Linked DNA regions of Drosophila melanogaster. The protein of the gene in region 1 interacts with the protein of each later gene in a pairwise test. Each region holds a gene or a part of one and is shown in the gene's direction. Other genes may lie near its edges.

Region 1 (5,381 bases):
CCCGCCCCTTACCGCTCCACCCCCTCGGGCGATCGCTCAACTCCGCGGGGGCACTGAAATTCGCGCGTGCGTATGCCATCGACAAAAAAAAAATGAAGCACAAAATTTAAAAAAAAGCAAGCAAGAGAAATAATAAACCGAGAGAAATGAGGTCTTCGCGATATATGTTTTTTTGTATGTGTAGCTGTATCTTTGGATGATTGGGTGTATAAAGGCCAGTTGGTCTTAAGCGACTTGACCATATGCGCTACACCCCAACGAGCATTGCAGAATCTGATGAAATTTGTGAAATAACTACCTTATTATTCCATATTATATTTTCGGAATGGGCAGCAGATTAGGTTTCTGCATTTCAAGCTATAGGGGCACACTCGATGAATTCTATTGGGGGCACGTGCTCGTCCACTGGGTTTCCTCTAATTGCTACAATTGGTATTAATGATTCGAGTTACGACAGTGATTCAGTTGTTAAGCTAGAAAAGTCTTTCAGTGGCGTTTAAAGGCATTTATAGCTACTACATGAAAATTGGAACTTCCGAATTACAATTGGAGCCCCTATACTATTTAGCTTTTAATTTAAGCTAGTTGAATGAATGGATTATATAAATGGATTATATTGTTATTACAAAATATTTCTTAATTTAACGTGTTATCTACAATTGTAGCTAAATTGTTTTTAAAAATCTTTAAATTTTTGAAATATTTTTTCCATATTTTTTATAGTATTGTTTCTTTAATAATCCAATATGAATTACTTCTTAATTGGTTGTTGCAAATATCATGCGACTAACTCACCCCAAAAATGCAACCACCACCCTCTGACGAACAGTTTGACACACTGCCGACCCATAAAATCCAATTAAGCATTTCCGGAGCATTCAGCTTTTTGACATCAACAGTTTAAGTGTCCCGGTCCAGCGGACAAAACGTTTCGGTTAGATAAGTTGTTAGCCGTTTGTGTCTTGGCCCGTTTATCACCGTTGCTGCTTTGTTTCGGCTAACTGTAGCTCATTTCGAATGCGTCGAGGGGCAATCTTAATTTGTCTTATTTGAGTTTGAATTTATATACACATAGTGATCGAGTAGCTGCCGTCTCGGAGCTTTTGTTATTCCTTATTTGTGTGCCAATGAGCCGGGCTCGTGTCATTTTCAATGAACGCCAGCGAGCGTCATCGTCGCCGGCACTTCTAATTAAATGTTGAGAAACCCGAGCTTAGGATCCGAGATGTGTCAGATGCCGGCGGATGGAGATCTAGCATCTCAAGCTGATGAATCACGACGATATAGCGTTAAAAATAAATACCGAATGTGCTAAATGTGTATACATACATATACATATATCGCGTATAGCCCACGAGCCATAACATTTATAGCGTGTGCTGGCAACAGCCATTACGATTGTAACCGACTTTCGCGCACACGTCGACTTCGATCGGTTCCCAGCCCGAAGTCGCTATGGTAATTGTCTACAAATAGAAGCGAGCGACGACCCAAGATCCCCAAGCGAACCCAAAACCCCCAACCGAACTGCAGCTGATCCCCAAACGATCCCCAACCGACAATCAAGAATAATCATGTAAACGAAAAGCGTAATGCTCGTCCCACGAAACCCACGACTACCACGATCCAATCAATGATCCATAAAGCGCTAACAAAAAAGCAAGAAACAGAAACACTGGCCCGTCTCGGGTTGGCCCGATGACGATTCCACAATTATCAGCGTGCCATAAGCTACTGCAAAAGGGTGAAGGCACATGGCAAGACTTGAGACCGAACCGAACCGAACCCAACCGCACCGAATTGAAGCCCAAAAGACCGGACCCCGACCATAGTCGACCATACAAATGAATTGAAATGCAAACATCTTGTTATGGATGGAAGGCATGTGCTCGCCTCGCATCGTATCTGGGATCCCAAGTCGCACAGACCTCTTAAAGGCGGCCCGTCCATCCGTCCGTCCGCTCAAGAAAGACGGTGGACGGAAAGACGAGGGACGAGGGATCGTACAAGACCCCAAGCATGCACAATCAGAAGAAGTCAGGCCAGCCGTCGTCATCGTCGTCGTCGTGGAAATCGGCTGCGAAACAGTTTCCCACGGTATAACAATCACAGCACATACATAAGGAGGGAGGGAGAGAGAGCGAGAAGGCGCAGCCCGCTCAAGTCATTTTATTGCCCTCACATATACAGGCAAAAGTATACAAAAAAACAGAAGCCACCACCACCACTACCACAACCAAGCACCACCAAGCCATCTGAAACCACCGCTGGCAACAGCAGCAGGCCGCGCACGAGGCAAAATGAGTGTCCCGCTCGCACTCACTGTCCAGTTCCCAGGGCGGCAGAGGCTATATAAAGCCGATCCCAGAGCCAGCCGACTCATTCAAAGCTCCGACTTCGTTGCGTGCACACAGAGTCTCCGAGTCCGAATCTAGTGGAACGTTGCGACTGTGGATTACGCGAGTTTACTTTACCCCCAATAAAAAAAAAACAAAACCAAACTACAACAAAATGGTTCTGGAAATGGAGATGTCCAAGACCTATCAGTACCGCAAGGTGATGAAGCCCATGCTGGAGCGTAAGCGCCGTGCCAGGATTAACAAGTGCCTGGACGAGCTCAAGGACATCATGGTGGAGTGCCTGACCCAGGAGGGCGAGCACATCACCCGGCTGGAGAAGGCCGACATCCTGGAGCTGACCGTGGAGCACATGAAGAAGCTGCGTGCCCAGAAGCAGCTGCGTCTGTCCAGCGTCACCGGTGGAGTGTCTCCGAGTGCCGATCCCAAGCTTAGCATCGCTGAGAGTTTCCGTGCTGGCTACGTTCATGCTGCCAATGAAGTGTCCAAAACCTTGGCCGCTGTACCCGGAGTGAGTGTGGATCTCGGCACCCAGCTGATGAGTCACCTTGGCCATCGTCTCAACTACCTGCAAGTGGTGGTTCCCTCGCTGCCCATTGGAGTGCCTCTTCAAGCTCCAGTAGAGGATCAAGCTATGGTCACTCCACCTCCCTCGGAATGCGACAGCTTGGAGAGCGGAGCCTGCAGCCCGGCGCCCAGCGAGGCCAGCTCCACCTCTGGCCCCATGTGGCGTCCCTGGTGATCAACTGGACTCCGGATGATATTCACCTGAATCGCCTTCAAGCGGAAGGCTTCTACAAATTTGTTGCCCCAAAGAGGTGCTGGACTTGAAACCGCACCGAACTCCTTGGAGATCATCAATTGCTGCCCAGGAATAGCTTTCCCAGCAGCCCAGCAGAGCCACCGATCATCTCTAGCAGAGCCTCAAATTTCGGCTATAGAGATGGCTGCTGCTCACTTCTTAAAGTCATAAAGAAATGAAAATAAATGAAATTCCAACTCAAGAATCTCTGCATTTACTTATTTCCCATAGAGCTGATTACTCAGACTTCCCAGACATTTAGTGGGCGTCCAACCGCAAACTAAAGCAACTAAAAAAAAGAAACCCCTTAAAACAAGAAACGAATTGGAGATAAACTCCGTGGTGAACCGAATCGCAGAGCCCACAGCCGGAAGTCGCTGAATATTTTCCCACACTCGGACTATCGTCTGGTCTCTCCGGCTTGGCCTCATTATGCCCCGAGAATTCGGATTGCGAGGGTATGCGGGGCTTTCAGGGGGCATACAACATACATACGTATATCTGCGGGAAGTTTTGCGCCGGCGCTGTCGCAATTAAATAATAAAATAAAGCAAAAAGTCAGTTCTAGGAAACGGCATTTATTATGAGGCCCGCCGAGTGTGAGAACCGCGGCTCCGCTGTCAATGGCTCAGCATTGTGGTCATTGTGTTTCGCTTTTTTTTTAAGATTTTGCTCTTTTTTAGTTTTTTTTTGTTCAGGCTTTGACAGCTTTAACTGCGCTTGACCGCTTGGCACATGCGCGGACGGACCGGCGGTCAGACATTGCAAATTAAGCCCGCGACCGCGACCGTCTCGGCACTTAAGTCTTAAAACTCCAATACTGTATGGGTATGGATAGGGGCTGGGATTGGGGTAGGGGTATGGGGTATGTGTATCGGAGTGCGGTTCGATTACGGAACCTCGGATTCAGCGCCTTTGTCTGGCGGACAACTATGATGATGACTACTTACCAGGTCGTCTCGAGTCTGGGACCGTTCAAGCCGTCGCTGATTGCTGTTAATCTTCAGAAAATGTTATTAGTCACGTAACATTGGCATCGAGACGGCCAAGTTAGCGCTTCTCCGCTTATTTTGTGCTTTTTTTTGTTGTGGACTACAAAACGGCTATTTATAGGGCTCAACGGTAGTCTGCTGAAAATGGGTGATCTATTTTGCGATGGACCAGTTGAAAGGCGATCAGTTCACTCCAAGATTGACTAAGTGCCGCAATGTTGGCCATTGCCGGGGGCTAATTGGATGGCTTCGTTGGCGAAACTGATCTAGAGGGGTTCCCATTCAGCTTGTCGGCTTTGGTTTTCATTTATTGCCGAAACGTGCGTCATTCATAAGAGGTTATTAAATGTGATGTTTGCTGACTTCAGAGTGGGTATCATTTCCATATCTATCTAATACCTGATTAACTCAGGAACAAAAGCCAATGATGACTCAAAATTGGTTTGCTCATAACTAGAATATTTCGTAAATTCTACACTGTAGCTTGCAAATAGCTATTATTAAACAGCATATAACGATTGCAATAATTTTTGAAGATTTCACCAAAGGTTGCAATTATTGAATGATCCCATTCCATGTTTTCGACCTCACCCAACCCACTTCGTATCTTGTGACAGGAGGTACAGTAGAGCCCACACGTCATCCATCACGTGACCTCTGTGTGTCGGTGGACCCCCAATCGCAGGCACCGCGGGTCCGGCCACCTACTTCAGTCATAATACTCCGCACGCCGCTAAGGTTTAATGCAGCCATATTAAAGTAAGCGCAAGACCACCACTTAATAAAAGAGAGGCGGCGGCAAACCGGCCTGGCAATGGGCTGTGCATGGAGGCTGGAGGATGGGACTGGGATGGAGTCGGCACTCGTGCCTCGATCTTCATCCACTCCCATTCCCATTCCCATTCCCATACCCATATCCAAACCCATTCCCCATACGATCCCATACAAACACAACCTGTGGGCAGCTTGTCCAGTGGCAGCAAGAGCGTGTGCCAATGTAGTGTAACAACATCCCATATTAAAGATATTACAGAGTCAATAGCACACCATATAAGTGTGGTTGGGTGCCTCTCCAGCGCTCCAATGCTCCGACGACCAACTCCTCAACTCCCCAACTCCCATACTCCCCAACGAGCATCTCCCACTCCGATCACCATAACCGATCTCCTCGTGCATCCCGCTCGCTCTCGCTTTTTGGTCATAAACCAACTAAATTGAGTTCGTTCAACA
Region 2 (5,840 bases), about 18 Mb from region 1:
TCTACTATAAAATATGTGTAGCGAATTTGTCTTGTTTCGATGAAGGATAAAAGGATCACTGCTGGCGCCAGTCAGTTGCGAAGATCACCTCAGATACTGATCGGCAGTAATGTTGGCAAAACAACACCACCGCGCTCGAATTGCCGCATCAAAGTCGGCGACAAAAATCGCTCTGACATGGTCCGATCCAATCTGGGCAGATACGCTCATAAGGAGCACGGAGCTGATGTGCCATCCCTCAGCCGGATGATAACCATCAGTAGGCAATCTATGACAAAGCGCCGGCACAACAGGAGGTGAGGGCGTGCCCAAACAATGACACAGTGGGCGCTGCAAGGACTCGACTCCGACTACTCTGTGGACGTGTGTATAATCTAGTTTTAATTTTCATGGGAATTAACCCATGGCCGTCACAATTTTCCGGCCACTTCGTACAATGTGCAATTTATGCGATATTTGTTTAAGCAATTTTGATCAGCTCCCAGCGATGATAGCCAGTTCCAACTGAATCCCGTCCAATGTTTGACTCCACTTGACTTTTTATCCCCGTCGAGGAGCATATGTACATATGATATTTTCCATTTTTCCACCGCCCCAATCGGTGGTCAATATTTGCAGAGCCAAGTCAAACAACGGTCTCACATAACAAGGGGAGCTCTTTCCTCCTCCTCGACTTGGTCCTTCTGCATTTGCATATTTAATTTGCCTTTAATGAATTTTCAATTTGACAATTGCCGAAATGCCACACAAGAGGCCAGGATTCGATTTGGGGCCAGGCCACCCACGTGCACGGAACTGGGGGAATGGGAACTACCCCAGTTGCGGAGATGGCATGCCATGCCGATTGCATGTCCATGTCCATGTCCGTGTCCAGACTCCTGCTCCTTTCGCTTTTCGCTCTCGTCTGCAAAATGGGACAGAGTGTTAAATGCTAATAAAATAAGTAACATACAAATTTTTCAATTTCAGCTAAAAAAAATAACTGGGCCGAAGACGTTTAAGTCGAGCAGGAGCTGGTGGACTGGGATTCGGTCTGGATATATATAAATATGGATCTGGACAACACTTTCACGGCCCAGAGCGACTTGCTAATGGGAGTCGTTGACGTGAGCCTACTTTCCTCTTGTTGGCATCTCTTGCGCCTACACGTTCCTCATGCCGAAGAGAGTCCTGGAAAGAGTATACTGAATTAGGCCGGCTAGTCAGCAATTTGGTTACTTAACAAAATGTAGAAAATAACTAAATTAATTTAGTTACTGCGTCAATAGTTTAATGGCCTAAGTAACTAATACATGATTTGAGAGTTTAGTAAAAAACCCAATATACAATTATAACATTCACCATATTATATTACACTCAAGAATATACAGGTTGGTTTTTCTAGGATAATATAAGAATATGATTTGGATATGACTACAAGAGTGTTTCATGTTTCACCCAAGCAGATTCATACCCATTCAATTGGCTTTGTCATGCGCTTTCTGGAAGCTGCTCCACATCAGTTGCATTCCCATCGATGGCCAAGTTGCATTTATGCATATTGACATGAAAGAAGTGGCCCGTTACCAGCGTATTGATGCCAATGAGCTGGAGCTGAGGTATTGGAGGTACTGGTACTCATAAGGTATGTGGGTCCGATGTGAGGGATCAGCCACTCGATAACTGACAGGCACGCAAGGCGCCCGATGCCGACCATTGGCGAAAAAAGAACTCGACTTGACTTGGAATGACCCTTTTTGCCCCCTCGACTGGCAGCACGTGCATATTGCGATGCGGCAATGAAAATGTAAATTTCCCAATCGATATGCAGCGGATGCCTTGACATCGGCTAATGCCGATAAGCGAAAAACTTTACAGCGGAGATGCAATCCGAGGGATACGATCTGCACAGGTACATATTGCAGGTGTAACTACTGTCTGTTGCGGCAAGTGGCTCGTAAATTGCATGGAAGGACATTCACGAGGGACGTTCAGGACATTCGAGGTCTCTCAGGGGTGGACAAAAGGTCAAACATGCCTGTGTGCGTCCAATAAATTGGTGGTGCCGCTCTTGGTGCGGTTTGTTGTGTGACATTTTTATCTAATTGACAGCGTTTTTATTGCCCGGCAAAAAGATCAGATCCTTTGGGGCGTGCTACTAGTTGTGCGACTGGGTGGCCGCGGAACTTCAAAGATGCCCGAACACTCCCCCGCAAGTGGTTGATGTAGAATTCGTTGCATTATGATTTCCAGCGAATCATTAAGGATTAAGGGGCGTAGCGAAGGGATCTAAGGACCACCGTGGACGCTTCGTTTTGCTGTGTCATCCTGGGATCTACAACTAAATTCCCTGCTCACGATCGAACACACGGCCGTATTAATTGCAAGGCGCTAAAATGTTAACCCAGCTCTTAGTTACTGCCTGCCACGCTTATTAGGCACGACGAGGGCTAAGGTGAAGGTCAGTCCTGGCACTCGGTCAAGCGTGTCCTTGAAGGGCCGGCGCTATCATCTACCTTCTTCATGGTACCGGCAACAAGCGTATCAATTGGAAAATTTGCCAAGTTGTAATAAACAAGATTTTTCATTGCGATATTCCGCCCCCGACTTTGGGTAAGCATGTCGAATGACCCGGCGGCGGTGGATTTGTAAGGATTTCCCTAGCCGTGATCAGGTAGATCGAACCCACTTGCAACCGATGCAGATTAGATAAACTCATAAGACCCGCTCTGCCATTTGGTGCTGACAAATCGCCAAGGGATTTTTGCAAATTTCGCTTCGCTTTGCGGTCGACTTTAATCCCGTTTAGGGATTCAAATCGATTGTTTGTCCAAGTTCTGTTTACATTTCCGCCCATATTCCTGTTCCGGTTGTGCCGGCCATCCTATAATCATCTTGTTAGCGGCTTTAGATGCCCAGATAGTCGGTTTTCTAGCGCCATTTTAAGCTCGCAACGAACTGAGGTATAACCGGGCTCTCTGAGACCGCTGCAACTCACCACCAACTGCCATTGGTCGTGCCACTCGGGCGGCACGTGCTGCCTTCTGTGGCAACTCGTTTACCTGCCCCCCTACCTGCCTTTCAGGCCCTTCTGACCGTCGTGGTGGATTTGTGAGTATAAATAGGGCCGAAAGGACGAGAGACCAGTCAGAAACCCGCCAGCACTCGCAGCGTTCGTATCGTTTCATCCAGCAACATAACACCACCATACAGCAGCAGCAACATGTCGTCCAGTGAGATCTATCGCTACTACTACAAGACCTCCGAGGACTTGCAGGGCTTCAAGACAGCCGCCGCCGAGCCGTACTTCAATCCCATGGCAGCCTACAATCCCGGCGTGACCCACTACCAGTTCAATGGCAACACCCTGGCCAGCAGCAGCAACTACTTGTCGGCCAATGGCTTCATCAGCTTCGAGCAGGCCAGTTCCGATGGCTGGATCTCCTCCTCGCCGGCTAGCCACCGATCTGAGAGTCCCGAGTATGTGGATCTCAATACCATGTACAATGGAGGCTGCAACAACATGGCCCAGAACCAACAATACGGAATGATTATGGAGCAGTCTGTTGTTTCCACAGCGCCTGCAATTCCAGTGGCCTCTCCTCCGGCAGTGGAGGTCATGGGCTCCTCCAACGTGGGCACTTGCAAAACGATTCCAGCCTCAGCAGGTCCGAAACCGAAGCGTAGCTATACCAAGAAGAACCAGCCAAGCACCACCGCCACCTCCACACCGACTGCAGCTGCGGAGTCATCTGCCTCAGTGAATCTCTACACGGAGGAGTTCCAGAACTTTGACTTTGACAACTCCGCCTTGTTCGATGACAGCGTCGAGGATGACGAGGACCTCATGCTCTTCAGTGGCGGTGAGGACTTCGATGGCAATGATGGATCCTTTGACTTGGCCGATGGTGAGAACCAAGATGCCGCTGCCGGAGGCTCTGGAAAGAAGAGGCGTGGCAAGCAGATCACACCCGTCGTGAAGAGGAAGCGTCGCCTGGCCGCCAATGCACGTGAGCGTCGTCGGATGCAGAACCTCAACCAGGCCTTCGATCGTCTCCGCCAGTACCTTCCCTGTCTGGGAAACGATCGCCAGCTGTCCAAACACGAGACCCTCCAAATGGCCCAGACCTACATATCCGCTCTCGGGGATCTGCTGCGCTGAATTCCCGGATCCCGATCCCAGTCCCAAGTACTATTCTCAGTTATTGTTGGAGCTTGCCAAATGTTGTAGCTACTTTGTATATATTGCCTGGAGCCCAGTAGTGAATTACCGCTTAAGTATTATGCTGTTTATTGTTTAGTTAATTAGCCTAAATGGAAGACAATGATTAAGACTAAGGAAGACAAAATAAAAGCACCATTAATAATTTAAAACATATGTTCGTTTTTTGTTAACGGGGACTTTCTAACAGTTTTAGTAGCTATGCAACAATTCCTAGATGCAAAATGATAAATACAAAAATTCCAAGCCATCCAAATCCTTTCATCTCTGAACAATTCTGTTTCCCCAATCCTCGATATCCACACTTATCGGCGGGGCATCAATTCTCACACAGTGAATTGGACTTTATTATATGGGGGAAGGTGATCGATTTGGCGCTTCGCGATCAATTTGTAGACAGTTCGACAAAATTAGGGCCCCTCTTAATCGGGTTGGCCAAAACAAATACGCAGCGGACGATAATTACACGGCACGGCGCGCCGGACTGTAGCTGCCAAATTAAGTTAAGTGTTGGGCTGATCTGCTTTCAGCAGTCGCAGGTCGCATGCAATGTCCGTATGTCCGCTTGTCCGTATGTCCATTTGTCCGTCGCTGTCCCTGGAACCTCTGCAACTTCATATCCCAGTGGAAGTCCCAGTCGAGCCCCGAAAATCAAGCGCCACTCACAAATCGTTTAATACGAAGTTCGATCCCCGATCGTTGTTGGCGGATAAACTCAGCGGCTTAAGACTTTAAGCCGAAACTGTGCACTCAGCAAAACAAGAAGGTGTTGAAGAAGTTTTGTTCAATAAGTTAATGTAATAAATAATATTATTTAAGGTAATATAATAAAATGTATATAGTACAAGATAGGATCAAAGCAAACCTTTATAGTTAGTTCTACACAGAATTCATTCCCTTTAAAATATAATTAAATATATTATTTAGTGATATTAGATGGATGATATTTTTGGATCTGTTGAATAAATAAATCCTATGACGATTTCTGGCAGTGCAACATATCATTCAGCTTAAAACGGAGCAGAGATCCCCGGCCCAGTCAGTCAGTCATTCAGTCAGTCAGTCAATCATTCGTAAGATTCGAAGCCAATTTGTTGATAGCGACAGCAACGCCCGAGTGCCGGCGATTCGATCGACTCCCGCATGGGAATTGGAGCGCTCGGTGGCGGCTAGCGAGGGTGGGGGCGTGGCAGCGACCGGATTTCGTGGGCTGTTACTGTTTGTTTTGCAAAATCATTTTCGGGCGTCGCCGCAAAAGCTGCACGGATTTCGGGGCACATAATCAAAAGGAAATTCACATAATTAGTTAAGCGGCAGCGCGGCATCGACAGGGCTTCGTTAAATTGTTAATGACTTAATTTAGTGATCGCGAGGTGCGGGCGTCTCCCCAGGCGTCTTTTCCAGCGGCTGAGGCAATTATATTTGTATAGGCGCGAATGCGAGGCATAAAGGCGATATCCTGCCGATATCCCTGGAGTGTCGCTCTTGTTAGCGACAATTTACGGCTTTGAACGCTTCCGCACAAAGCGCTGCCGTCAATTTGTCAATTACACAAATTGTTCGGCTCCGTTCGGTTCCCCCATCTCAAAAGCCACGCACAACAAAAGGGTGCGATCCGTCGTGATGCGGGAAGAGAGGC
Region 3 (6,544 bases), on another chromosome or scaffold:
CTGCCTAATGAAATGTCAACGCCATCAGAAACCGGGACAGAAACCGACACCGCGGAGGAGACCCTTCTGTGGGATGGCAGTGATGAGAACCCTAAGAACAAGTGCTTACAATTTGACTCAGTGAACAACGAATCCAATTCCAGATCTGCAAACGATATTAAGGAAATGGAGACAAATCGTCAAATCAACGAATGCCTGACGCGTTCTTCCCAGGTGTGCTTAACCAGATTGACACCACGAGACATAGAAAAACTCAGGGGAGTAAGAGTTCGTGTTAAGCGAACTAATATGGCAAATTTCTATAACGACCAGACACGTCGCAGCCAAAGAAGGCTCACAGCGAGTCTTAACGGTCAGAGCCGCTCCCACACCGAGGACAGCAATGGATCTTCAAACAGCTACAACTACCGCCAATATGATAGGCGCCGCTTCAAGAAGTTTGTGCACATCACATCGGACTCGCCAGCACCTTCGGAATCGTCCACGCCATCGCCGCGCATGATAGCCAAGCCGGTCTTCAAGCACATTACATCCGATTCCTCGACAGATCTCGAGGAAGTGACTCGGTCTGTTTCTGCGATTAGAAGACGTGGACGTGACCGTGGACGCAGTGGGCCCAAGTGTATAACAGAACCAAATGTGCGACGATCGCCTTCCTTTCAGCCGGATGTGATCGAGTTGTCCTCGGACTCTCTTTCGTCCAACTCACCAATTCCAGCCGCAAACCCCCCCATGAATAACTTTACACATGCAATGGATATGGATCCGCTTTACGAGGAGGCCATCATTCCATTCTAACACGCTGTTGACAAGTCGAGCCTGCTACCGAGCCAGAGGCGATGTTCTACGTGCCCGAAACGAATGCTGGCGAAGGGATGTTCGTTGGTTGCGCAGCAGAGGAAGGGAGCAAGGAAGATGAAGTGTATAGCTGGGAAAATCGAATTCGTCTCGGTTGTTAGAATGCAATTAGCCTGGGGCACACTTGGTATTTGCTTTGGCTACCAAAACGCCAGGATTTTGATGAAATTATTTACGTGTACATCTGTTTGACCAAGTTTCCGGCTCCGGCATTGTATTTCGGTTTTTATTTGGACTGTAACGCCGCCCGAGGGCCTTTAAAAAAGGACTCTCATCGAGTCCAGGACAACACTCAATGGAAAAAGCAAACGCATCCGCACTTCAATTAACTGCCTAATTGATGTGCATTGTGGCTCTAAAAAACCAAATTAGCTACACGCGGCGGAGAAGCTTTGTAACATGGATGACGACGACGGCGACACGTGGCTGCTGGTGTGAATTTAAGTGGCATATATGGGATAGATTTTCTTCTCATGTAAGAAACATTGTTAGTAGTACTTAGCTCTTATAAAGATATTGATACAAACTACCATTAATATTCTGTTTAAAACTTCAATATAAATATATTTATATATATTTATATATATAAATATATTTATATATATATAAATATATTTTATAAGTTACGAAAACACTCATTGTACTGATCATACAAGAAAACTGATTAAAAAATAAATAAATAAGTATACCATTAAGTATTTGTTTATTTATATAAAACTATCTTGGTTTTGAAATCTATAAGGAAATTAATCAAACATCAGCTCTACTTAGTACATTTTTCATAACATACTTAGCTACCTTATAAAGCACTATTAAAGAAAAAATTGATGGTGTCACAATTACTGAAGCAAGGTTTATATTTTTTCAACAAAAGCACTCAATTCATTTCCATTAGGAGGAACTGCCTGAAATGTGGCATATTACTAAATTAGCCCCCTCGACACTCAAGTTCTCACTCGTGCTGGTAATTTGCGGCAATTGCCGCATATCATAACAAATCCGCACGTGGCACCCGTCGCCCACTTGAAATTGCAACTCCGATCCTCCTTTAACAGGATTGCCACAGATAGGAATCCCACATCGGCACACTTTGCCACTTGAGCAGCCGTTAAGACCGCGGCACGTGGCAACGCCTGGGTTTTCTACCAGGAGGATGGAGTCCTGTGGGAGTGAGAGCTTTCCGTTGAATACACATGTTGCTTTTGGTAAGTGGAGGCGGCATCCTGGCCACGTGCCACTAACCCGTTTAGCGACAGGCGTAAGCCCTAAACGATTATTGCGGTTTAGTTGCGAAAGGCGAAAGAGTTGATGGTAATTGAATCTTTTGAATTGCAATCGCATTATTTCGATGTGGCGATAAAACAAAATAACAATTTATTTAGTCCACGAAGCACACATACTCTATATATGTAGGAAAGGGTAAGAAATCTTTTAGTACGGAAATGGATTAAATCTCGTCCGAAAATTATACCTACACCGAAAATATAACAAAGTCGTAATGATCCGAAGATATCATATTAAACAAAAGTATTCCCTATTTCAAATAATTTTTGGATTTATCCTTAAACTAAGTGATTTTTACAAAATATATAATAATATAATATTTCTTCTTTTAATTTAACTATAATATAAAGCATATCTTAAATTGACCAACAATACTACTCATTCATTAATATAAATATAATTAAGTTTAAGCTGTGCAGTAAGCACATTGTATTTAAATAACCCTAGAGGAAGGGTATGACTATAGAGACGAGCTTTGATGATGCCGTTGGCGACACCGCTGATCCTCGGACGCAGACATCCTTCCGATTGGCCTAGAGAGCACCGCTCGCAGCGAAGCGTGAAAAATGCTCGTATTTTGACTGGTAGCGGCGGCCCGCAGAACGAATCTCCATCTCCAGGAAGTTCACCCCGCTGCAGGCAGTTCTAGCTAGACGACGTTGGTGTGTGAGTTGGCAAAAGCCACCCCCGGGCGGCAATCACGGCGCATATCTGTTGGGATTTGTGTCGGGGTTCTGTGCTCTCTACTTTGCGCTATGGCGCCGCCACGACCGACGACAATGCGCCGAGGGTTGATGCCTGTTAGTCCGGACCCAAATCAGCGGGCTTAATGGCTGGCCGGGCACATAAAACCGGTGCGCACTCCTCGCCAGCTTTTAGTTGGTGCGGGCACGCGAGACGCGAAGAAACAACTCTCTCAAAGCGGAAATCGTAAATCGGAAATGTGCTAAAGGATATACACACCGTGATACAGATACGAGATCATGGCCGCCTGCTACAATGCCTATAGCGCTGGATCACAGTCCTTCGAGTTCGACGAGGACGACGACGACGCCTCCTTCGACAGTGGCTACGAGAAGAGTTTCGAGACGGAGGCCCAGTTGAGCTCACGACGCCGCTTGGACTTTGGCACTCCGCCGACTCCGGCGATCCCGCAACCGTACTCCGGCGGCACCTGGGACGCCGTACCGCTCAGCTCACCGCCGGCGGGCTTCGTGGGATTGCTCGATACGAGCAGCAATCACAGCACTCGGAGCGGCAGGACACTGGTCGAACATCTGAACAGTCGGGCCACGAATGGCGTCTTCGATCCGCCATTGACCAGTACGCCGGTGAAGTCGCCAGAGGATCCCAATGCGCCGCGACCGAAACGCAAATATGCCGTCGGCAAGAACAGAGTAACTCGCTCGCGCAGTCCAACCCAAGTGGTGAAGATCAAGCGTTTCCGCCGCATGAAGGCCAATGACCGGGAGCGGAATCGGATGCATAACTTGAATGATGCCCTGGAGAAACTACGCGTCACTCTGCCCTCGCTTCCCGAGGAGACGAAGCTGACGAAGATCGAGATTCTGCGATTTGCGCACAACTACATCTTTGCCCTGGAGCAGGTGCTGGAAAGCGGAGGTTCAATCAACCTGGATCTGGAGAAGCTGCAGAACTTCACGCTGAGTGGTGAGAGGATTACCAAGGAGCTCTTCGATGCTCTTTTCGTGAATCCACAGCCGTATCCCTTGTTCGGACGAATGTTCCCCTATGGACAGGGAATGGCGCCTCTTGCACAGCACCAGACTGCTCCAGCATCGCACGCGGAGCAGCCGCCGGCGATGGGTGGCTTTCAGCACGGCATGGACTATCCGCAGCAGCCACCAGGATTCGACTTTACAGGCAGCATGCGGTTTTACCACCAACAGCAACAGCAGCCGCATCAGCCTCACCATCTGCAGCCTAATCCCCAGCAGGAGTCCAGCCCGCAGCAGTTCTCGCAGGAGAAATACGATCTGTTCAGGGGATCCTTCGATGCAGCTGCCAATCTTCATTCTACGAACTTGGATTCTGGGATTCACCAGCAGAGCAGCTTCTACTCGCAAACACCGCCATGGAAGGACTATCCGGAGGATCAGGCACACGTGCATCCCGTTCCACATCAACACAGCTACAAAAACTTCGCCCCGCAGGTGTAGCACAGTTTTGTGGGCCAAACTACGATCTTAGGGTTTTCAGCGTGATATACTAAAAGATTGCCGGAAATTGCAGGAAACTGATCAAGGGGAATTCCTCTAAGCGATTTGCCCTTGACTTACTTTAAAAACATAACTAAAGTAACTTATGGGTCCTATCTCGGGATTTCCCTTCCTTACTTTTCTCAACTTTCCTGCAATCCGTTGATATTGGTAATAAGCGAGGCACCTAATTGACTGCTAAGATTATCATCAAGTTTGAAAATGAAATATCTTTAAAAATTGTATATTTCACACTTGCGCTAATCTTTGAACTCAATTAGTTTCATGTTATAGAGGGATCCTCAATAGATTAACCAATTTAAAGTCAAACATCCAAAGTTAAGCTTCACGAACTCATTATTAATTCATATGAATTCCCATTATATTTGTATTCATTGGCTTCCTTCTTGCGGATCTCTGGTGAATATTTGAATTAAAAGTGCTTAGGGTAATCAATTTTCCAAAAAGCACTCTTCTTCTCAACATATTCGCATTCTTCTTGACTATATAGTACAAATCGGTTGTCCATTTAGTGTAAGCGATACGTACCTTGCCATTCTAGATTTAAGACCTATCTATAAGGATTCTTAAAATGAACCAGGTATTAGCCATAATTAACTGTACAATCGATTAAGTGTATGTAGGTTATGCCAGATTCTATATCAGTTATTGCAATGCAAGGAAAGCGAGCTAGTCAGGGCCAGAACTTTAAGGTGATAAGATTGAATTTCGATGTAAAACCATAAAGATTTATTTTTGCAAATAAAGTTGACGATCAAAACGAGCCAGAAAATGGTTTTGCGAGTGGGAAGAATGGACGAACTCCTGGACAAAGTCAAAAATAGTAGCCAAAGCAAACAACCCTGGAATCAGTGTACCGCTGTGTGCGGATTTCAGGTCCCAAACAAAGGACTTAAATTCAAATAAATATTGTATATTGCAGGGCACATAAAACGAATGGCTTTGTGTGTGTGCACTGCAGCTTGTTCTTATCGTAGGGGGCACTTTTCGCCCTTACAATTCGACATGGGGTGAGTTCAAGTAGAAACCGAACTCGAACTCCCGGCTCGGCCTTCATAGCTCGAACAATGGAAGATTGCCGTCACCTGCCACACAATTACAAAACGAATGTACCAACAGCAGCAGTCAGGACCAAACAGGGAATCCTGAAACATGAGCTGTGAGCCAGTGGACCTGCATGAATGCCACTCAAATTATTTAGTTGAATGAACCGAACCGGCAAGAGTCGAGGGAAATGCTTTACTGCTTTACTGCCTAACTGGGTAACAACTGACTGACTGACGTTTTCCGTTACGAGAAAAGGGTAAAAAGGTGGTAAAGATGCTGGAAAGCCGGTGAGGAATTCGCAATCTCAACTGAAGATTACAATAAGACAGTCTTATCCGTTAATAGAGCTGTCATACTGCAAAGCCTTACATTCAAAGGTTTTAAAGTTTTAAAAAAAGGCGTAGGTTTGCCTAATGCAACGTAAATTGAATATTGGGAAAGCAGGATATCTTTATCAGCAACTTGTATGATTTAATTTCAAATATCAACTACTAACCACCACTTTTAACAAAAAGATTTAAAATTACATATTATTCGTATGCATACTCCATTAGAATTTATATTCATCATTCAAATATCTTAGAAATAATTTTAGGTCTAGCCATCCTGAGCATTCAACTATGTTTAAGTTAACTAGATATATTTGCTGTCGGTAAAAGATTCGCTCATGGTTAGTTATTGGGGTTATAAGCGGGAATTCGTCAGTTTTTCCACAACTAAGCCGGCGTTTGTCATTTGAGCAGCTTTGTTGGAGGTGTCGGGATTTATCTTTGCAATAATCATTATTATAGACCGGCATGGGTCCTGGGTTCTTTGGTCCTGTTGTGCTGCAAAGGCGCAAATACGCAGCGGGTGAGCCAGCTAAGCTGCATTCAATTTCTGGGACCCACTCGCCTCTCCTCGAGGGTTGAGGATGAGGATGAAACCTGGCCCGGATGGGACTCGCATCATTAGCGGACGGGGTGGCTGCGTTTCGATGGCTATCGGCGGATCAATGACGACATCTATGCCCTGACTCCCTTGCCCGAATGCTAATGCACTGCGAGGCTGGAAAAACAATTTGGCGATGGCCATAAGGCGATAAGGCAACCAAAATGGAAACAAATTGCCATGGA
Region 4 (6,961 bases), on another chromosome or scaffold:
CTTAGCTTTTCCACTGTGTATTGCCTAAATTATAGTCCTCCCTTATGTACCCTTAAGCCTCGAGCGAAATATGTCCAGATTTGATCAGGATCGATACCGGATAAGATAGAAACAGCACCTAGCTCAAAAGAGAGGGGAGCAGTAGGGGAAGAGAGTAAGCGAGAAAGGAGATGAGAAAGGAAAAATGAGAAGCCAGGTGAGGGTGAGGATAATTTATTATTGCTCGGATACCCCCGAAAGCGCGCCAAAGGTCCCCGATACCCTAAAATCCAAAGACCATGCGTTTGGTCGAAGTGTCCCCGACACACAGAGAAAACTATACAACACGTACGCACTCTTCGACTGTTTAAAAATGGATTAATATAAGATGGTGTCCTTAGTTAATATAATAAATATATTACAAAAATATAAGTGTTTAAAAAATTTGAATAATGCTTGTAATATTAGATATCACTATAAAAGAAGAAAAGACGTGCCAATCCGGCTACAAAAAAAGATCCATTACAAGAACACGACGACGGAATGCGTATTTATTTCTTGCATGATTCACCACATTTATTTCAAGATGGTTTTTTTCTGTGTAGGATCTCAGGTAGAAGACACACAGACACTCACTCACATTTATGTAGAGCACAAGGCACGTGCGCGATCTGAAAACAATTTACCACTCCGATCAGCGTGAATTGTGAGTTTCACTTTAAAGTCGAATGCAGTTTTTAAATAGAAACTCGCTATTTCCCCATGTATTGTTTAAAAGAGGTATTAAAACAGCCCGCACCCGCTCATTTTTGCTGCAAGGACGGGACACAGTTTGCCGCTAAATAAATAGCAGAAATGATTCGGGAGTAACTCTTTTCCTTAATTTTTTGGCTAATTTTATTTAGTTTATAGTTAGAAAGAGTTACATATCTGTACACCGGTCACTTGTAACTCGTTCACGATCCGATGGGGGGAATATGTAATAATTAGAAGGCATCGTCACAAACATTTCCTTAAACAATGTCCCAAAAATGGTGTTCACCCGTAGAGCGAGTCCTTTTGTGTAGTTCTCGGCTGGGGTCCTTTCACTTTTCCCCCAGTGCTTGACTCCAAAGTTATTTCAAGGACTTCCACGGAAAGACTTCCGTTCCATCAAGTTTTCAACACTCATAACTCGAAAGACGAAATAATAATATGAAAAAACAAGAAGCGGTAAAACAATTTATGAACGAACAACTGTGCACAGATGCTAAATGATGAAGCATCCTAAAGGATCCACTTGAGTCAACGACGAGTACACACAGAATATGGGCCCAGGACATATTCACCCGGCGCCTTTCTCCGGTTACAAAATGGAAAAAGAAGAGGGAACTTAAATTTTGGAAAATCAAAGCGACTTGCATGCGTTGGCAGATTGATTTACGATTTTGGAGGGTCAAGCCAAATAGAACGACTTCAGGTTTCAGTAAATCATGGAGGATCCAGTATGTTTCCACGCTAGCGTCAATTCCGTTTACTCATCTGTTTCATTACCATTTGGCGTTTCTCTCGTCGAAAGATATTTTCCCATTGAAATCAATGCGTTTTTAAAATGCAAATAAACCAGAAACCAGAAACCATTCATAAATTGTATTTGCCTAGATTGGAACATTTCGATCCGCCAAAGATAACAGCCAAAAAAATATATAAAAAAAAGAGTGACAGGACTACAACGCAGGTTCTTAATTTTACGAACGTGGGAGTAAATTCGAAAAGGTATGCCGCGTCTTGGGGCAAAACTTTTTTGAAACCGTTTACATGTAATATTTTTGGAATCGCTACTTTTATGTATGGTTAATTTAATTATGAACTATTTTCTTGCAGTGCACGAAAGGCGTGGCTGGGGCAAGGAACAGTTCCTTGAGATGAGTGCTGCGATGCGTCGTCAAAGTGGGACGCAACCGAGTCAAATCCTCTAGGACAACAAAGGACGCCGAGCAGTACTTCCCAGTACTCAAATACTCCTCAGTACGCACAAGCGTTGACTCCTTTTTCTTTGAGAGCTCGTCTGCATAATGAGGAATGAGGACGTGGCATCCTGGATCAAAAACCGGTAGTCGGTCGTCGCAAGTTTCTTCTCCCCGCCGGTTATCCTGCGCTCAAGTCCTTTTCCTTGAACCTTTTAAGTGAACTCAAGTTTATAAATTGTGCAGCAAGTACAACACACACACATATGTATACTCCTCTATTTACTCAGGTTTGTTGGAAACTACCTGAGAGGAAGGATCAAAAAAGTTTATTGTAGCACTCGAAAACTTGTTTGCACAGATAGACCTAAGCTCCAAAAAAAAGAATAGATTATAGAAATAAAGCACTGGTAAAATTATTTTCCCACCGGACTAATTGCCAGAAATTTTTTGCCAGACGTAGAAAAAACAAGAATGTAGAGAAGGATGGGTGATTTCTCACCCCTTAAAGGATTTAAATTGGCTCTCTGGCATCTTGTCAATTTCCAACATAAATTGTAGCCCTGTGAATTACCTAAGACATTACTTTCGCAGTATATACTTGCTGTTTATTAGCTTAACAATAGGAAAATGTTTTTGCCAATGCAAGTCCTGGTAAATATATGTATATATTATCCAGTACGAGTTTTTGAAAAGTTAACAATAGGTGATCCCGAGACATTTTTCGAATGAAGTAGAAACCAGTCCTTGGTTTTAGCTATAAGCTAAAAATAAAGATTCGATGCATTTCTGCGTTTTACATGACGAATATTGGAGGTCTAAGGTGATCTATTAGGATATTTTGCAAATTCCTAGGTGGTAGGGCATTCCTTGAAAACCAGGGCTGAAAAAGCTCCCCAGGGAATATACTTTTTATTATATGCATACGTATATGGTTATTATAATGTCCATATATTAATAGGGGCGGTATATAAGCATAATGTGTTTGCTGCCGATAAATAATGAGAGAGAGCGTGGCGAAATCCACCCTTGAACCAGGTGGACTTTTTGGCTCGAGTTGATCAGATGTTAGTTTTCCCAAAAGCCGTACTGTATATAATATATATATATGATAAAGGTGTATGTGTGAGCGATCGAGAAGGGACACCCAGTCTAGGGGATGAAAAGTCAGGCCCTTTACATAAGGGATACGCAGGACCTCAAATGCCTTCTGTTTTGTATGTGTGTGCTCTGTGTTGTGTATGTCAGTCAACGAAGTCACTTCCGTTGGGTTTGCGTTTTAGTTTGAGTTCGGAGTTTAGGGGCACGCGACACAGAGCGCCAGCAGCTGTCCTGATGCAAGGACACGGAAACCATATTACATCAGTCACCAGTTAACATTCACTCAAGAAGGACTAACTTGCTAAAAGTACACCCGCAATCGCCACCAGTTTTTCTCCCGCCCTCAAAAAGCCACGAATCAAAAAACTTAATTATGGCCGCCTTAAGCTTCAGCCCATCACCTCCTCCAAAAGAAAACCCCAAGGAAAACCCCAATCCAGGAATAAAAACCACGTTGAAACCTTTTGGAAAGATTACCGTTCACAATGTTTTAAGTGAGAGTGGCGCCAACGCCTTGCAACAGCATATAGCCAATCAGAACACCATTATTCGAAAGATCCGGGACTTTGGCATGCTGGGCGCTGTTCAAAGTGCCGCAGCCAGCACAACTAACACCACACCCATATCCAGTCAACGGAAGAGGCCCCTGGGAGAATCCCAAAAGCAGAACCGGCACAACCAGCAGAATCAACAGCTTAGTAAAACATCAGTGCCTGCTAAAAAATGCAAGACCAACAAGAAGTTGGCGGTTGAAAGGCCCCCAAAAGCAGGAACTATAAGCCACCCTCATAAAAGCCAAAGCGATCAGAGTTTTGGGACTCCTGGAAGAAAGGGTTTGCCTTTGCCACAAGCCGTTGCCCGTAGAAACGCTAGGGAAAGAAATCGCGTGAAGCAGGTTAACAATGGATTTGCTTTACTCCGGGAGAAGATCCCAGAAGAAGTATCTGAGGCTTTTGAGGCCCAGGGGGCGGGTAGAGGAGCAAGCAAGAAGCTATCCAAAGTGGAGACCCTCCGCATGGCCGTAGAGTACATAAGAAGTTTGGAAAAACTGCTGGGATTTGATTTTCCACCTCTCAACAGTCAGGGGAATAGTTCTGGTTCCGGCGATGATAGCTTTATGTTTATTAAGGACGAATTCGATTGTCTGGATGAACATTTCGACGACTCGCTGAGCAACTACGAAATGGATGAGCAACAGACTGTCCAACAAACTTTATCCGAGGATATGCTAAACCCTCCGCAAGCCAGTGATCTCCTGCCTAGTTTGACTACATTAAATGGGTTGCAATACATCAGAATACCAGGAACCAACACCTACCAACTGCTGACGACTGACTTATTGGGCGATTTGAGTCACGAGCAAAAACTTGAAGAAACAGCTGCTTCGGGCCAGTTATCGCGATCGCCCGTGCCACAAAAGGTGGTAAGAAGTCCCTGCTCTTCTCCAGTTTCACCTGTCGCCTCGACTGAATTGCTGTTACAGACACAGACGTGTGCCACACCGCTGCAACAGCAAGTAATCAAACAGGAATACGTCAGTACCAACATTAGCAGCAGCAGCAACGCACAGACTTCCCCGCAGCAGCAGCAGCAAGTTCAGAACCTGGGATCGTCGCCTATTTTACCCGCGTTCTACGACCAGGAGCCCGTGAGCTTCTACGACAACGTAGTCCTTCCCGGATTCAAGAAGGAATTCAGCGATATTTTGCAGCAAGATCAGCCCAACAATACAACCGCTGGCTGCCTTTCGGACGAGAGCATGATCGATGCCATTGACTGGTGGGAGGCACATGCACCTAAATCTAATGGTGCATGCACCAATCTGTCCGTTTAGCCGAATTTTTTCACATCACGCATCTCGGAAAAGCCGATTGCATTTTTTGGCATACTTTTTAAATGATTTTAAATCCTCACAGCATAAGTCTGTGGCAGGCCATTCTATCTAAAGTTTTTTTTAATCAAGCCATGACTGAGTCATTGTGTAAATATCAATTTAAGCCGAGAAAGGAGGATAACTTCGGCCAGCCGAAGCTTATATACCTTTGCTGTTAAAACCATGTATTTAATATGAAAGTTCGCACAATTTCGATGAAGTTTATCACAAATTTACGATTTCATCAAGATTTGTATATTCTCCAAATTCTATAAAATATATGTACATTTTTGATTCTTGCTATGGTACTTGTACGTATGATATTGTTGATCGATCCTGCCCGAGTCACCTTTTATATCACCAGACATGCCGATCATGAATATTTATTGATGTGGGGTCGGAAATGCCTCACTGCTACCTTCAGACATATTATAATATCCTCTGAAAGAGTGTGACAAAATGAATGTATGAACACTACATATTTAAAGTCATCTAGTGATATAAACCAAATGGAAATAACCTTGTAAGACCCAACCACAAAATAGTTATCCTGATAAACGGCTTAATGTTGAGCCGGACTAACAGAGTGTCTAGTATATAACAAAAATTAATGTATTTGTGTAACCATATTTTTTTTTTATAGATTTAATTGTAGGAACGTTAAAATGACAAGCAGATAATATATGCTTTTGAATAAATGCAAATAAATATGAACATTTCCAAAAACTTAATTTGTTTCTTGTGGTTTTATTTCTCAACGAAAATTAGGTATATTAAATGACAATTTATAATTTGTACCACATTTTAGAAAAAAAGGTGTTTTATATTTTAGAGAGTGTCTTATGGCACAGTATATCTCCGGTGCTTTATTGACTCGATATTCAAAATGGGGTTCCTTCTGTGACAGAATGACAGAATTCGGATTTTTTTCTAGCGGTTCTTTTTTAAACATGTGCCTTGATTCATAATGACACAAGTAATTAAAAACGCACCAAAATAAATATTAGGGAAATTGAGAGAAAGCGGTTTTAGGGTGAACTATTATTTAGGACCTAACCGGCAACCGCAAATCAAACGAATTGCTTTTAAAAATAGAGTCTAGTCTGTCTGTCCTCATAGAAGTCAAGAAGTGAAAAGCCAAAACAGCTTGAAATTCCAATAGCGGCTACAAACTTGAAGTTGTTTTAAAACCTTGTCATGCTCACCACACAGACCCTCATTAACATTTGGAAAATATTTTCAATGATATTTAAGGGAATGGTAATATATTTTTTTATACAAAGTTGCCAAGCCTTCACGCACGTCTTTTATTTTGCACGATATTTACTCACCCTCACTTTTACTTGGCGCTATACTCTCCTGCCAATTGTGCTCAGGACTTCATTGTCCTGTGCTTACGTGTTCTCATGTCTCTCTACCCGTCCCTTTTTTTGGGACATCTGCCCAAATAAAACAAAACGGAAGAAAAACCAAAAAAAAAAAAAAATAAGAAAGGGCCGGTCCAATGGATATGGATGATGCAAAACTACATAAGACAGGCATACTGTAAGGAAAATCAATTGAAATCGTTTTCCATTAAGAATAGATGGCCTGTGCCAAATGATATTCGCATCTGCAGGATCCGAAAACCAAAGAAATCTAAGTAGTACACTGAGGAAACAACACGATCTATTTTGAGGTCGAAATTACAAGGCGAGGCATTTTTTCCTCCATTACTATTTTTTTTTTTTCGCTGTGTATATGTATGTGTTGGCGCGCTCCTGAGCGCCTGAGATCGCCTGCAACCCCCTTTTTCAACAGTTTTCAGTTTTTCCATCCAGGTGCAAAGGTGTTTTCCTATCATTCTTTTTTTGGTCGTGTGGTGGGTGCGCCGTTCACCGTTAGCAGTGAAAATTGTTCACGCACCGTTATAATTATTAAATATTGGTAATGCGACACGCCCCTCAACCGTACACCTCCGAGTTTGGGTCGAATTTCGCATTTTTACTGTTTGAACTGGGAAATCATTGCCGTTATGTGCGTCTTTTTGTTGTTTGTGTTTTTGGTGAATGTTAAAGGCTTA

What was found.
Region 2: the proteins of E(spl)mbeta-HLH (region 1) and ato interact in a two-hybrid assay, tested with the Drosophila melanogaster proteins (one study listed by BioGRID).
Region 3: the proteins of E(spl)mbeta-HLH (region 1) and tap interact in binary tests that used the Drosophila melanogaster proteins (3 or more experiments, as listed by UniProt).
Region 4: the proteins of E(spl)mbeta-HLH (region 1) and ase interact in a two-hybrid assay, tested with the Drosophila melanogaster proteins (one study listed by BioGRID).

Annotation. Positions count from the first base shown.
Region 1 is NT_033777.3:26,003,024-26,008,404, reverse strand, and holds E(spl)mbeta-HLH (enhancer of split mbeta, helix-loop-helix), read left to right. Parts: upstream 1-2,381; 5' UTR 2,382-2,511; coding exon 2,512-3,099; 3' UTR 3,100-3,359; downstream 3,360-5,381.
Region 2 is NT_033777.3:8,274,924-8,280,763, forward strand, and holds ato (atonal), read left to right. Parts: upstream 1-3,128; 5' UTR 3,129-3,202; coding exon 3,203-4,141; 3' UTR 4,142-4,351; downstream 4,352-5,840. UniProt on the Drosophila melanogaster protein: Developmental protein involved in neurogenesis. Required for the formation of chordotonal organs and photoreceptors. Seems to bind to E boxes. Specifically required for the photoreceptor R8 selection.
Region 3 is NT_037436.4:17,356,668-17,363,211, forward strand, and holds tap (target of poxn), read left to right. Parts: upstream 1-3,014; 5' UTR 3,015-3,125; coding exon 3,126-4,322; 3' UTR 4,323-5,144; downstream 5,145-6,544. Other genes in the region: CG7692 (uncharacterized protein), read left to right, coding at 1-798. UniProt on the Drosophila melanogaster protein: May play a role in the specification of the sugar-sensitive adult gustatory neuron and affect the response to sugar and salt. Regulated by POXN.
Region 4 is NC_004354.4:457,557-464,517, forward strand, and holds ase (asense), read left to right. Parts: upstream 1-3,190; 5' UTR 3,191-3,399; coding exon 3,400-4,860; 3' UTR 4,861-5,620; downstream 5,621-6,961. UniProt on the Drosophila melanogaster protein: Involved in the determination of the neuronal precursors of optic lobes in the central nervous system.